Linked DNA regions of Xenopus tropicalis. The protein of the gene in region 1 interacts with the protein of each later gene in a pairwise test. Links are inferred from orthologs where the notes say so. Each region holds a gene or a part of one and is shown in the gene's direction. Other genes may lie near its edges. The genes, in order: rint1, epc1 and txlna.

Region 1 (3,754 bases):
ATTCCTTAAAAATTTGTTGTACTTTTATATGTTTTAGCCCCAAGGCCTCCTGTGGTTTTGGGGGCCACAGCCTTAAACCATCCCTGATATAGTTCCAGCACATCACAGCCCTGCTTCAGTAGCACTCTCAATCTAATTTGCCTACCGCAGACTATAAAAACTAAAGGCAGTTTCCTCAGAGCTCCGCCTGTTGTTTTTTGTAAAAAGGCCTATTCAACTTTCCCCATATTTCCTTAATTACAAATTTAAATGCAATATAATTGCAACTGAAAACAGTACTTAGGCTATTGATTAGGAAGTCAAAAACGGACCAGTACTTTTTTTTCATGTTTATGTTTTCTGCATTGCAAAAGCCAGCTGCTTGAATAAGCATGGAAAGTATTGAGGTAATGGCTGGGTAAGAGCTAGGTAAGAGCTGGGTAAGAGCTGGGTAAGAGCTAGGTAAGAGCTGGGTAAGAGCTAGGTAAGAGCTGGGTAAGAGCTAGGTAAGAGCTGGCTCTTGGTACGTTGTTGCAAAAGTCAGACCAGAAAAGGACAAACAGTGCATCAAATTACAAACACATTTACAACTCTAAAACTACTCATGTACATTAGAACATTGCTTGGAATCGATTTTCTTTCATGAAGGACTTAAAAAAAAAAAAAAGCATTCCCCTTTAACTTATAGCCATTCATTCAGCAGGGTGTCATTATTATTCACGTTAGAATTGCGAAAGATTTAAAACGTGGCTGCTGCAGAGAGAATTGCTCTCTAACTGTGCGGCTGCAATTCATAACGCTGCTAGTTAGCCAGGAACTTCATAGTTTGTTTAGTGCCACTGTGGCTATATTTCCGCTACCAGTTGAGTCCATTTTTGTTTAACGCCGAATTTGTTAATAAAGTTGTGGTTTTACAGAGAGAACTGGGGCAGGAAGTTATACGTCTGCAGCTTAGGTGAGAGGGCGCAGAACTGGGAAGTGACGTATGCAGTGCGGGAGAGATGCCAAAGTCACCGGAAGTGATGTGTTTGTACCGCTGCTGAGCGTTCAGCTTGAGGAAGTGATGTGTGTTTAGTGCTGGTGACAGTGTGTAGGCTGTCACAGGGACTGCTGCAAGATGCGTTACGAAAGACCTACAAATTATCCCCGGGACTGCAATTTGCGAAAGTGACTTTGAGTCGTGGGCTCTGGGCCCGAAACTAACTCCCAGACGAACTGTTTGCTTGATCTACAGAAGAGGTAACTCCTTTGAAAATTAAAATCATCACCTTGGTTGAATTTCTTTTTTTTATAATAAGTAATTTCTCCCCAGGGGCGGCTTGTGTATACAAGTTAGGGTCGTGTGCATTTGCATCTATTATTGTGCTAATCATTTTTGCATTGATCTGGAAACTGACACAAAAACGTTGTTTTCACTGAAATGCATTGCATCTTAATGATTTTGCAGGGAAAAACACCATGCTTTAAAGTAATGTATAAGATTTTATTATTTTTTAATGAATGAATAAATAAATGCATTTTGAGTTCGTATAGAAGCCCTAAAGTACAAGTGGTAAACAATATTGATGGAGTAGATCTGCTTTCTTCTGCCTGCTTTTTTTAACCAGGCAGAGGAACGTGGATCCGCTGTCATGTGCTCCTTCATATAGCAATATTGACAGGTAAGATGTCAACTTGTAAACTACAGATTCCTCTTAAATGAAAGGAAAACAAAAACCCAAGATATATATTTTTAAAAATATTAAATATATGTATTTTATAATAATTATTAAAAAATGTCTTTAGGGGTACCAAATAAGCACAGTAATTGGCTATTTGGCAGTCCATGTGGACTGCTAGCCTGCAGGAGGCTCTGCTTGGAGTAAAACTGACCTCCAAGCCAGAAATGTAAAAATGGGCACCAACCTTGAGGCCCCTGGGAGCAAGGGGGCGGTGAGCAACATCTTGCTAACAAGCCACTGACTGGGGATCACTGGCTTAGAACTTTATGTCCATAATGCAGCCTATGTTGGCCTCTGTACAACTGTGTGTCATGCAACAAACCTATTACCTTTTTAATATGCAGTATAGATTGATTGTAGAGGTTCGGATTCATAGGAATATCTGGAAACCCCATTCCTAAGTAATCAGATGCCTATTAAAACCATTTACGCAGGGATGATGAGTAATAAACACAGATGTGCAGTGCATGGCTGCATAAAAAACAGTGCAGTGTTCTGCATGCATCACATGATTAGTCATCAATTGTGCAGAATGGTGATGTTATAGGTGATTCATTCTAAATATGAGGTGGAAGCCCTTTGCTGCATGTAAATGTTCACCAGTTTGATTAAAGTAGCTATTCATATTATTGGATTATTGTCAGATATCAACACACTTTCTGCTGAGTTTGTTATTCTGCAACAGCTCTGAAGTTTAGAGACAGCTTATTTTGATAACCATTTAGCTTGCTTCAGCGCTATTAGCTCTGCCTTTGTATTTATAGAGGAAGTACTCCCCTTTTTTACATTTGATATACACAAACACACATACATATACAGGTATAGAACCCGTTATCCAGAATGCTCGGGACCAAGGGTATTCCGGATAAGGGGTCTTTCCGTAATTTGGATCTCCATACCTTAAGTCTACTAAAAAACCAAAAAAATATTAATTATCCTAATAGGATTGTTTTGCATCCAATTAGGATTATTTATATCTTAGTTGGGATCAATTACAAGTTACTGTTTTATTATGTCAGAGAAAAAGAAAATCAGCTTTAAAATTCTGAATTATTTGATTAAAATGGAGTCTATGGGAGATGAACTTTCCGTAATTCAGAGCTTTCTGGATAATGGGTTTCCGGATAAGGGATCCCATTCCTGTATATATATCTGCATACAGGTATTGGATCTGTTATCCAGAATCCAAATGCCCTTGGTGCAGGTCAAAAACAAAAATATAATAGAAAGAATGCCGCACACATAGGGACTTGATACAAAAGAAAAAGTGTTTTTATTTAAAAAAATTGAATTTATTTATTTTTTTCTTTTAATAAATATGCTTTTTCTTGTTCCCCAGGTCAATTATGGCTTCTTTGGAGACTGGAAGAGAGTCCGGCACTTCCAATCAAAGTGACCACAAGAACCCGAGTGACATCTGTGGACTGGTGGATTTGGACACATGTGAGATTCCATTGTATGTGTGTGAATTTGTAGAAAAGGAGATAGGAAATGATTTCAAGTCTCTGAAAAACGTTTCAAACCTCATAGAAACCATTAAAGAAGAGAAGAAACATTTGGAGGAGCAAGTAAGTACAGCAGGTTATATTTTTAAGTCCTGTTAAGGATGATGATGTGATCTCTTACCTCAAGAACAGCCCTAAAGATTAAAGGGCATTGGCTGCAGTTAGAAGTAAAAAGTTGATGAGAGGGCATGTGGTGTGATTTGGGGTGTCATCCCATCAAGTAGTGACAAAACCTTCCTACTAGTAATTAGCAGGTCTCTTCTAACATGCACCTGACCATCAAAAGCTGCTTTCCAACCTGCACCCAAAGTATTGATCTTTCAGAGGATTAGAACATGGAATCAGCCCTTTATGTCAATCTTGTCTTTTAAAAATTATTCCTTTTCCAACCATAGTTTTCCTTGCAGTATTAAGCTGCACAAATGCAAAAAACAGGGCACTCTTAAATAAACCTTTTTTTTATCATTTATTAATGCCACACATAGAAATACCCAACACATTTCGGCCCTTACAACGAGGGGTCTTCGTCAGGGAAACATGCAAAAGGTG
Region 2 (3,654 bases), on another chromosome or scaffold:
CTTAATTTGATAATTAACCTTCTGTGAGGTACTGTATCAAACGCTTTAGCAAAGTCCAAGTAGATGACATCAACTGCCATTCCAGCATCAAGGTTCCTACTCACCTCCTCATAAAAGGCGACTAAATTAGTCTGGCAAGATCCTTACTTTAATAGCTTACCTTTTACCCTGGGCTGGTGCCCCTGTTAGGAGAAAATAGCACCAGCCTGGGGTAGCTGTAGCGAGTGTCCCCTCTTCCTGCTTCTGTCTACGTGCGCTTGCTTTTTCACTATTGCGCATGTGCCGGCCCAGGGATTCCTAAGACAGAAGAAATAAGGAAGAGGAAACACTCTCTGCAGGTACCCCGGTGCGGTTTTCAATATGCGGTACCAATATGTTGTATTGAACATGTCTGAAATATAACCTGAAACGCACACAGATGATAAAACAGTTTGGCAATTAAAAATTGATGATTTCTAGTCAGACTAAAATTTTGGTGTCACTTTGCTTAAATCGGATTCCCTTTTATATAGCAACATATTACATGTAAAATGTGTAAGGATGTTAACCTTAAGAGTTCTGCTAAGACATATATGTTCCTATAACACACTTGTTTTCTTTCCCATTAGGAACATCATCTCCAGCGAGCCATTTCAGCACTGCAGGTGTATGGAGAGAAAAGGGATAACATGGTTATTCCTGTTCCAGAGGCAGAAAGTAACATTGCATATTATGAATCTGTATACCCAGGGGAATTTAAGATGCCAAAGCAGCTTATTCACATACAGCGTAAGTTCCAAAAAGTATCTAGACGTAATCTTTCTAGTGTTGTGGTGTGTGTTTTTGTATCGTTGACTGACTTCTATTGAGGTACATAATACAAAGTCTGATACATGAATTAGATCACACACAATCAGGATTGTCTGAGAAAAAGGTGAAGAAATTGTCATTTAACGAGTCATTTTTCTGTTTCTTAGCTTTTAGTTTGGATGCTGAACAGCCAGATTATGACTTGGATGCTGAAGATGATGCCTTTCTGAATAAGCTGAAAAAGAAAATGGATATCTCTTCACTCCAGTTTGAAGAGATGGTTGATCGATTAGAAAAGGGCAGTGGGCAGCAGGTAATAATGCTGTCATTTTTGCAATCCTGCATTGAACCTGGCATTGTAACCGCTTACTGACTGTTCTAAATCTATTCTCCAGCCAGTTAATCTCCAAGAGGCCAAACTCTTGTTAAAAGAAGATGATGAGTTGATTACTGAAGTATATGACTATTGGATTAAGAAACGGAAAAACAGCCGTGCCTCCTCTGTCATACCAACAGTTAAACAGGAGAAGCGAGATGGCTCCAGCACCAGTGATCCTTATGTAGCCTTTAGACGGCGTACAGAAAAAATGCAAACAAGAAAGGTTTGTCATGTCTTATCTTAACTATTCTAAATCTTAAGCAATGCTTGTCAAAATATGGTTTAGCTATATTGCATTATCGACTTTACCTCAGTGGTGTTCTCTCTTGTCTGTTATCCGTAGCCTGAAACCTACTTTCCATACATAATAATAACAGCCTGTTTTTGCTCCCTATTGATATGAATGCGCAGTGGCTTTTATATTTGTGTAATTATTTTGTTTATTTGATTCAGACTCTGATACAGTTTACGTAAATAAGCTGCTGTGTAGCAATGGGGCAGACATTCAGGATGTTATTGGACAGTAGGGCAAATCTGTACATCAGCAGAAAGCTGTGTAAAATACAGTGGTTTTAGTCTCAACACCAGAAATATAAAGGTCACAAATGATGGAATTTATGGCTCCCTACAGAACTTTAAATGTACTTTACGGTTATAGAAAGGATATTTGCTGCCAAGAAATAGTTTACTTGTAGCTGGATGAACAGATTCAAATTCTTTAAAGGAGAAGGAAAGTCATTTTAGCATTTTATTGCAAATAGATTTGCCACATTAGTGCCACCTAGAACACTATATTTATTTTGCAGAAACCATTAACATACCTGAGTAAAGAGCTTTGGAAGCTTTCTCCCTTTGATTAAAGGCGACATATCCTATAAAAATTATGAATGTGCCAGTGAATTAAACTCCTCCTAGATATAGAAGGATTGTGCTTAAAAAGACTGATTTATTGAGAAATTCCACCAAAGCCCCACTAGCCCCGCCCACCTGTTACACTTCCTGCTGACTGAATTCTCTGGATGTGCTGGGGAGCTGGCAGCTCTCAGTACACTGCACTGTAGGATAGGAACCAATCAGCACCTAGGCTGACCTGATAGGGAACTGAAGCCTGTCTTTGCTTGTGTCAGTGCAGGGCTGTGATTGGCTCTCCCCCTCTTGCTGTGCTTCTGGCAGGGACTGTTAGGACACGCCCACTCTTCATTTCTCACTCAGACAGAGAAGTGATAGGATCTATAGGGAGCTCCAATAAAGGGGCCATTTTTACAGACCGGATTAATGTTTAGCCCAAAGTGAAACCAGCACCGTATATTATTCATAATTGCCTACAAAATTAGGGTTTTTCTCATTTATCCAATATGTCTCCTTTTAAGACAGCAGCTGCCATTTTCAGTTGCTCCCTGCCTGCAGCTCCAGCTGTTATAGCGGAGATCACACATACCTAAGGGAGGGGGAACGGAGTTCAGAGAACTCTGCAGACTCTGGCCACAGGAATCAAAGATGTTTCTGAGAGACACTGGAATATCATATTTACAAAAAGAGAGACAAAAAAATCCTGTGTTTCTTTTGATAGGGGGTTCAGTGCAGCTTTACTGTAAGTGCTTATGGCTGTATTTACATAGACCTTTCTGATAAAGCTTACTTAGTTTTTACCTTTCCTTCTCCTTTAACAAAATTTGAGTTTTAATTTGAGTAGTCATACAGCTTAGTACAGAATTTATTTGGGTGCTAGAAATTATGCAAAAGTTTTATTTTTCACTGTGACTTTACAGGACCTATTGTCGCACTGTAAATTATAATCATTTTGCATAATTGACTTATGTTACTGAAAAATATAACTTGCCAAAAATGATACTTTCATTTTAGTATTAATATTTGCTTTACCCAATTAGCGGTGTTTATTATTGTCTTTGATATAATGTGTATAACTTCCTTACTTAGAATCGAAAGAATGACGAAGCTTCATATGAAAAAATGCTGAAGTTACGTCGGGATCTCAGTCGGGCTGTCACTATACTAGAAATGATAAAAAGGAGAGAAAAGAGCAAGCGGGAATTGCTTCATTTAACACTGGAAATAATGGAAAAGAGGTACGTGTGAGCTGTTTTTGTTATGATTTTTTTTCTGATTTTATAGGTAAAATGCTTTTTGCTGTGTGCTGTACAAAAACTCTGTAAAGGTTAGGTGCCTAGTTTTGTCCAGGGCCAACAGACTTAAGTAAGTTAATGTTTTGCTTTTATTAGTTACAAATAAGCATGGTCAAAATAAAATAACACCAGATGTTCATCTGGATCCAACTCGGCTTGCCTTGTGGCAGGAACAGCACTAATGATAAATGAAAAGTTTCCTTCTTGTATTTTAAAGCTGCGGCCATCTTACGGTCTATGAAGTGGTACAGGGCCCCATTTAAGTTCTAGCCTGTACTTGTTGCTTTTGCTACAGGTGCCTGACTCTGTGCTGAAGTTCCTTGCTTATTTAAATTATTTCTA
Region 3 (3,754 bases), on another chromosome or scaffold:
AGGCAATATTTCGCCAGCTTGGCCAGCAATAATCATACTTTCATTGCTATTCAGGGGGTATATTGTAAAAACCCTACTCCACTTTTTGTTTTTTCCCCCCACACATTTGCCTTTTATATTATGCTACTCTATCTCAACCCAACATCCACTGTATACCATTCTTCCTTTAATCATTGCAGCCCAATTCTTTTCTTCTGCATAGACCCCCACCTTTACCGTCTGATGTCCCATAACATCCAAAAATTTATTTAGAGCTTTGCCTTCAGTTAATACTAAGGTACCTTAAAAGTAGTATAAATAATGCTGTAATAATTGTAAATGTGATACCATGAAAGTATACTGTGATATGGGAAAGGAGTGCGCCAGCAGTAGTCATGAGGCCCATACTACTAAGCAGGACCCTCCCCTCCAATTATTTGCCCACTGGTCACACAGGGACCCTGCGTGGTAGGCCCCTGCCACCTACCAGCATATTTATTTTATTTTGTGCCCAAATAAAAGAAATATGCCCCTTAGCATATTAGCAGAATTTTTAATTGATTATATTTTTAAAGTTTTTTTCATTTCCATGAGATAAAACTATTACATTTTCATTATAGTTGGGCTTGGCGTGGTTTTGCTTGTGCCTGCAATTGTGTCAGGCGCAACGTCCCTATGTGAGAACAACAATGCTGGAATTCTGAGGGAAAAAAGCTGCATTTTGGAAAAACAGTGAGTTCCACAGTAAAATCGCAGTTAGCAAGGCCGCATTGAAAACAAAATGGGCCACACGTTTTTGAGTGGGTGACCCCCACTAGCAGCCCCATCTTGCTAATGTCTTTGTTGCTAGGGCCACTAGGATTTTATGAAATACTGGGGGTCAATATGTTATTAGTTATGGAAACAATGTTTGAGGTATCATTATTCTTGTGACTGACAAACTAACAATGTTAATAAAAAGAAACGGTATCAAGGGCATATTATTTCAATTTAGAAATGTTAAAAAACTTTCAATAAGCCTTTGCTTTATTTTTATAAATATAACCTGTTTAAAACGAGAAAACTATATGAACAGGGTCAAATCAAGGGTCACAGTTTAATGAATCTTAGTTATATATAACAAACGAGCGCACAAAAAGGTGGTACTCATGCGTACGACTGCGCACAAACAAGGCTTATAGGGAATTGTAGTTTTTACTTTCGCGCCTTTGCTACCGCCCTATACAGTTTCTGTTTCCTTATAATCAACAGCAGCGCCGATAAATCTTGCTTCCGAACGCAGAGGTTTCCGTTAGACCCGCCTCTGAGAGCGCATTGGCCTTTAGGCTTGTTGGAGCTGCGTGTCATTGGCTAAGAAGTGTCCGGCTTGCGGCCTGGATTTGTGCCTGTGCCTGTGGCTTCCGGCAGAGAGTGAGCGTTACCGGAGCGGATGCAAGAGTGAGGTAAATCCGGTTATTAATCGTGTCCTCCGGGAAAAGGAGTCAGCGCAACCTCACTGGCAGGGACAACAACTTTGTGTGAAACAAGTGTACAGTTCAGCGCTTACACAAGGAACAGACCAGAACTACATCATTTGTCATACTGCTGCATCGCTTGAGGTGCAGCTTCCGTGTGTAGAGCGACAAGGACAACATACAAGTTTGCTGACAACAGGTAGCATGTAGTGGCCCTGCATAAATAAAACAATTAAGAAGTATAAAATGTGGGGGGATGCAAATCTTCAGTTTAGGTGTGGAGTGCCCATTATGCAGACTAGTAGTTGCCCCAAAACCTACATTAGTAAGGGTTGTCATGGCATGGGCCGGACCTGGAGTTACTCTGCACATTGAGCTATGCATATCCAATGTGCCAGCTTATGAGTTATCTATTTCTAGGTGGTTAACTACTTGATAAGTTAGTGGTTAATGCTAACAAGGTTCATTGATTGAATTGTTTTATACCTACAAACATACAGGGTTAACTAGATTCTTAAGAAAAAAACGTGAAGTTTCTTGTTTACATGCCATACTTTGCTTCTGTTACCTTTTGTTAGAAGTGAGTCATGAAGGACCAAGAACTGGAGAATGGCACAGCCAAAGGGCCTTCCCCTACCTCATCAAGCCCCTCACTTCCTCCAGCCACAGATGAGAACGTGACTACACCTGGAGTTTGTCACCCTGCTACTGAAGGTTAGTAGTAGCATTTTTTTTATAGTGGGTGTCGGATTTTTTCAGTTCTGCCTTCCAGCATTGAAGATTCAACCTTTGGTCAAGACCTTCTTTAGTTCATTAAAGTTATCAGTCATTTAGACTATTCTCTCAAGCTCCACCCTGTAGCCTGATTTTTAAATAAGTGGTATATGTGTTTACAAAATAATAAAGTAAAAGAAAAGGAAAAGGGGAAACTAAAATGGAGGGAGGTAAAAGGGGAAACGAAAAGGTGCAATAGAAGGGAGAGAAAAGTACTTCACTAACAAATGCTGTTTATATACATGAGGGATACCATTCAACTAAGCATAACTCTTACTAGCCCTTTCCCAGGATAGCCACACCCAAAGAACAGTCACAGCTAGGTTGATGTTGTATGATGACCCATAGAATTCTCCAAGTTAGTAGTGTCCTTTAGATGATTAGTTTCCCAAATAATGGTATTAAAGGAACAGTAACGCCAAAAAATGAAAGGGTATAAAAGTAACTAAAATATAATGTGCTGCTGCCCTGCACTGGTAAAAGTTGTGTGTTTACTTCAGAAAGTCTACTATAATTTATATAAATAAGCTGCTGTGTAGCCATGGAGGCAGCCATTCAAAGGAGAAAAGGCACAGGCACATAGCAGTTAACAGATAAAACACTATTGTATTCTACAGAACTTATCTGTTATCTGCTATGAAACCTCTGCCTTTTCGCCTTTTTTCCAGCTTGAATGGCTGCCCCCGTGGCTACACAGCAGCTTATTATATAAATTATAGTAGTGTTACTGTAGCAAACACACCAGTTTTACCAGTGCAGGGCAACAGTGCATTATATTTTTATTACTTTAAAGCTCTTTCATTTTTTGGTGTTACTGTTCCTTTAAAGGTGTCATGTAGGTTACAGTGTTGTACAGACTGTGATTCTCATTCTTGAACTTTATTCCCATGGTCTAAAAACCTGTTCTACCACCTTGAGGGTATGAGCAAATTGCTATTCATTGCCTTTTCGCCCTGCTGGGCATCCTTTTGTTGTTGTTCCTTTGTTTACAGTTGTTGCCTTCACTTCATACTGGTCTGTGGGTCTCCTCCTTGTCCATCACAGGTGTATCTAATTCACACAACAGCGTTAGGAGATAGACTTAAAAAGTAACTGCATTTTATGATGTGATAGCCCTTGGTCAGCTGTTGCACTGTTCCATCTGTGTTTATATTATACACTACCCTGAGATCAGAGTCACTGTTAACGCCTTAGGGTTGTGACACACTGGAAGATTAGTCATGCGCGACTTATCTCCCCGCAATGCCATGCCACCGGCTAGAATGTAAATCGCCGGTGGGATGGCACTGCGGGGAGATTAGTCGCACCACAATAATGGAGATTTGTTACGGAGCAACTAATCTCCCCTTATGTCACAAACCTTACATGATTCATAAGTTCAGGAACAACTCTGATATGGAATATTACAAAGGCCCATATATTTCCATGTCAGACAGTCAGGTACTTGGCGCGGTCCCAGTGGTCAATCAGCCTGAGCTGATATGGGTCTAAAAGGGCAAGATAGTCAGATCTGACCCACCACACAGTGGGTTCAATAAGCAATTCTG

What was found.
Region 2: the proteins of rint1 (region 1) and epc1 interact in binary tests that used the Homo sapiens proteins (3 or more experiments, as listed by UniProt). The two-hybrid records come from large-scale screens. The link is inferred for Xenopus tropicalis from reciprocal best matches to the Homo sapiens genes RINT1 and EPC1.
Region 3: the proteins of rint1 (region 1) and txlna interact in binary tests that used the Homo sapiens proteins (3 or more experiments, as listed by UniProt). The two-hybrid records come from large-scale screens. The link is inferred for Xenopus tropicalis from reciprocal best matches to the Homo sapiens genes RINT1 and TXLNA.

Annotation. Positions count from the first base shown.
Region 1 is NC_030679.2:77,093,323-77,097,076, reverse strand, and holds the start of rint1 (RAD50-interacting protein 1), read left to right. Parts: upstream 1-924; 5' UTR 925-1,218; intron 1,219-3,039; 5' UTR 3,040-3,046; coding exon 3,047-3,268; intron 3,269-3,754. UniProt on the Homo sapiens protein: Involved in regulation of membrane traffic between the Golgi and the endoplasmic reticulum (ER); the function is proposed to depend on its association in the NRZ complex which is believed to play a role in SNARE assembly at the ER.
Region 2 is NC_030682.2:22,939,748-22,943,401, forward strand, and holds part of epc1 (enhancer of polycomb homolog 1), read left to right. Parts: intron 1-608; coding exon 609-768; intron 769-956; coding exon 957-1,102; intron 1,103-1,184; coding exon 1,185-1,391; intron 1,392-3,106; coding exon 3,107-3,255; intron 3,256-3,654. UniProt on the Homo sapiens protein: Component of the NuA4 histone acetyltransferase (HAT) complex, a multiprotein complex involved in transcriptional activation of select genes principally by acetylation of nucleosomal histones H4 and H2A.
Region 3 is NC_030678.2:86,591,315-86,595,068, forward strand, and holds the start of txlna (alpha-taxilin), read left to right. Parts: upstream 1-1,394; 5' UTR 1,395-1,632; intron 1,633-2,011; 5' UTR 2,012-2,020; coding exon 2,021-2,147; intron 2,148-3,754. UniProt on the Homo sapiens protein: May be involved in intracellular vesicle traffic and potentially in calcium-dependent exocytosis in neuroendocrine cells.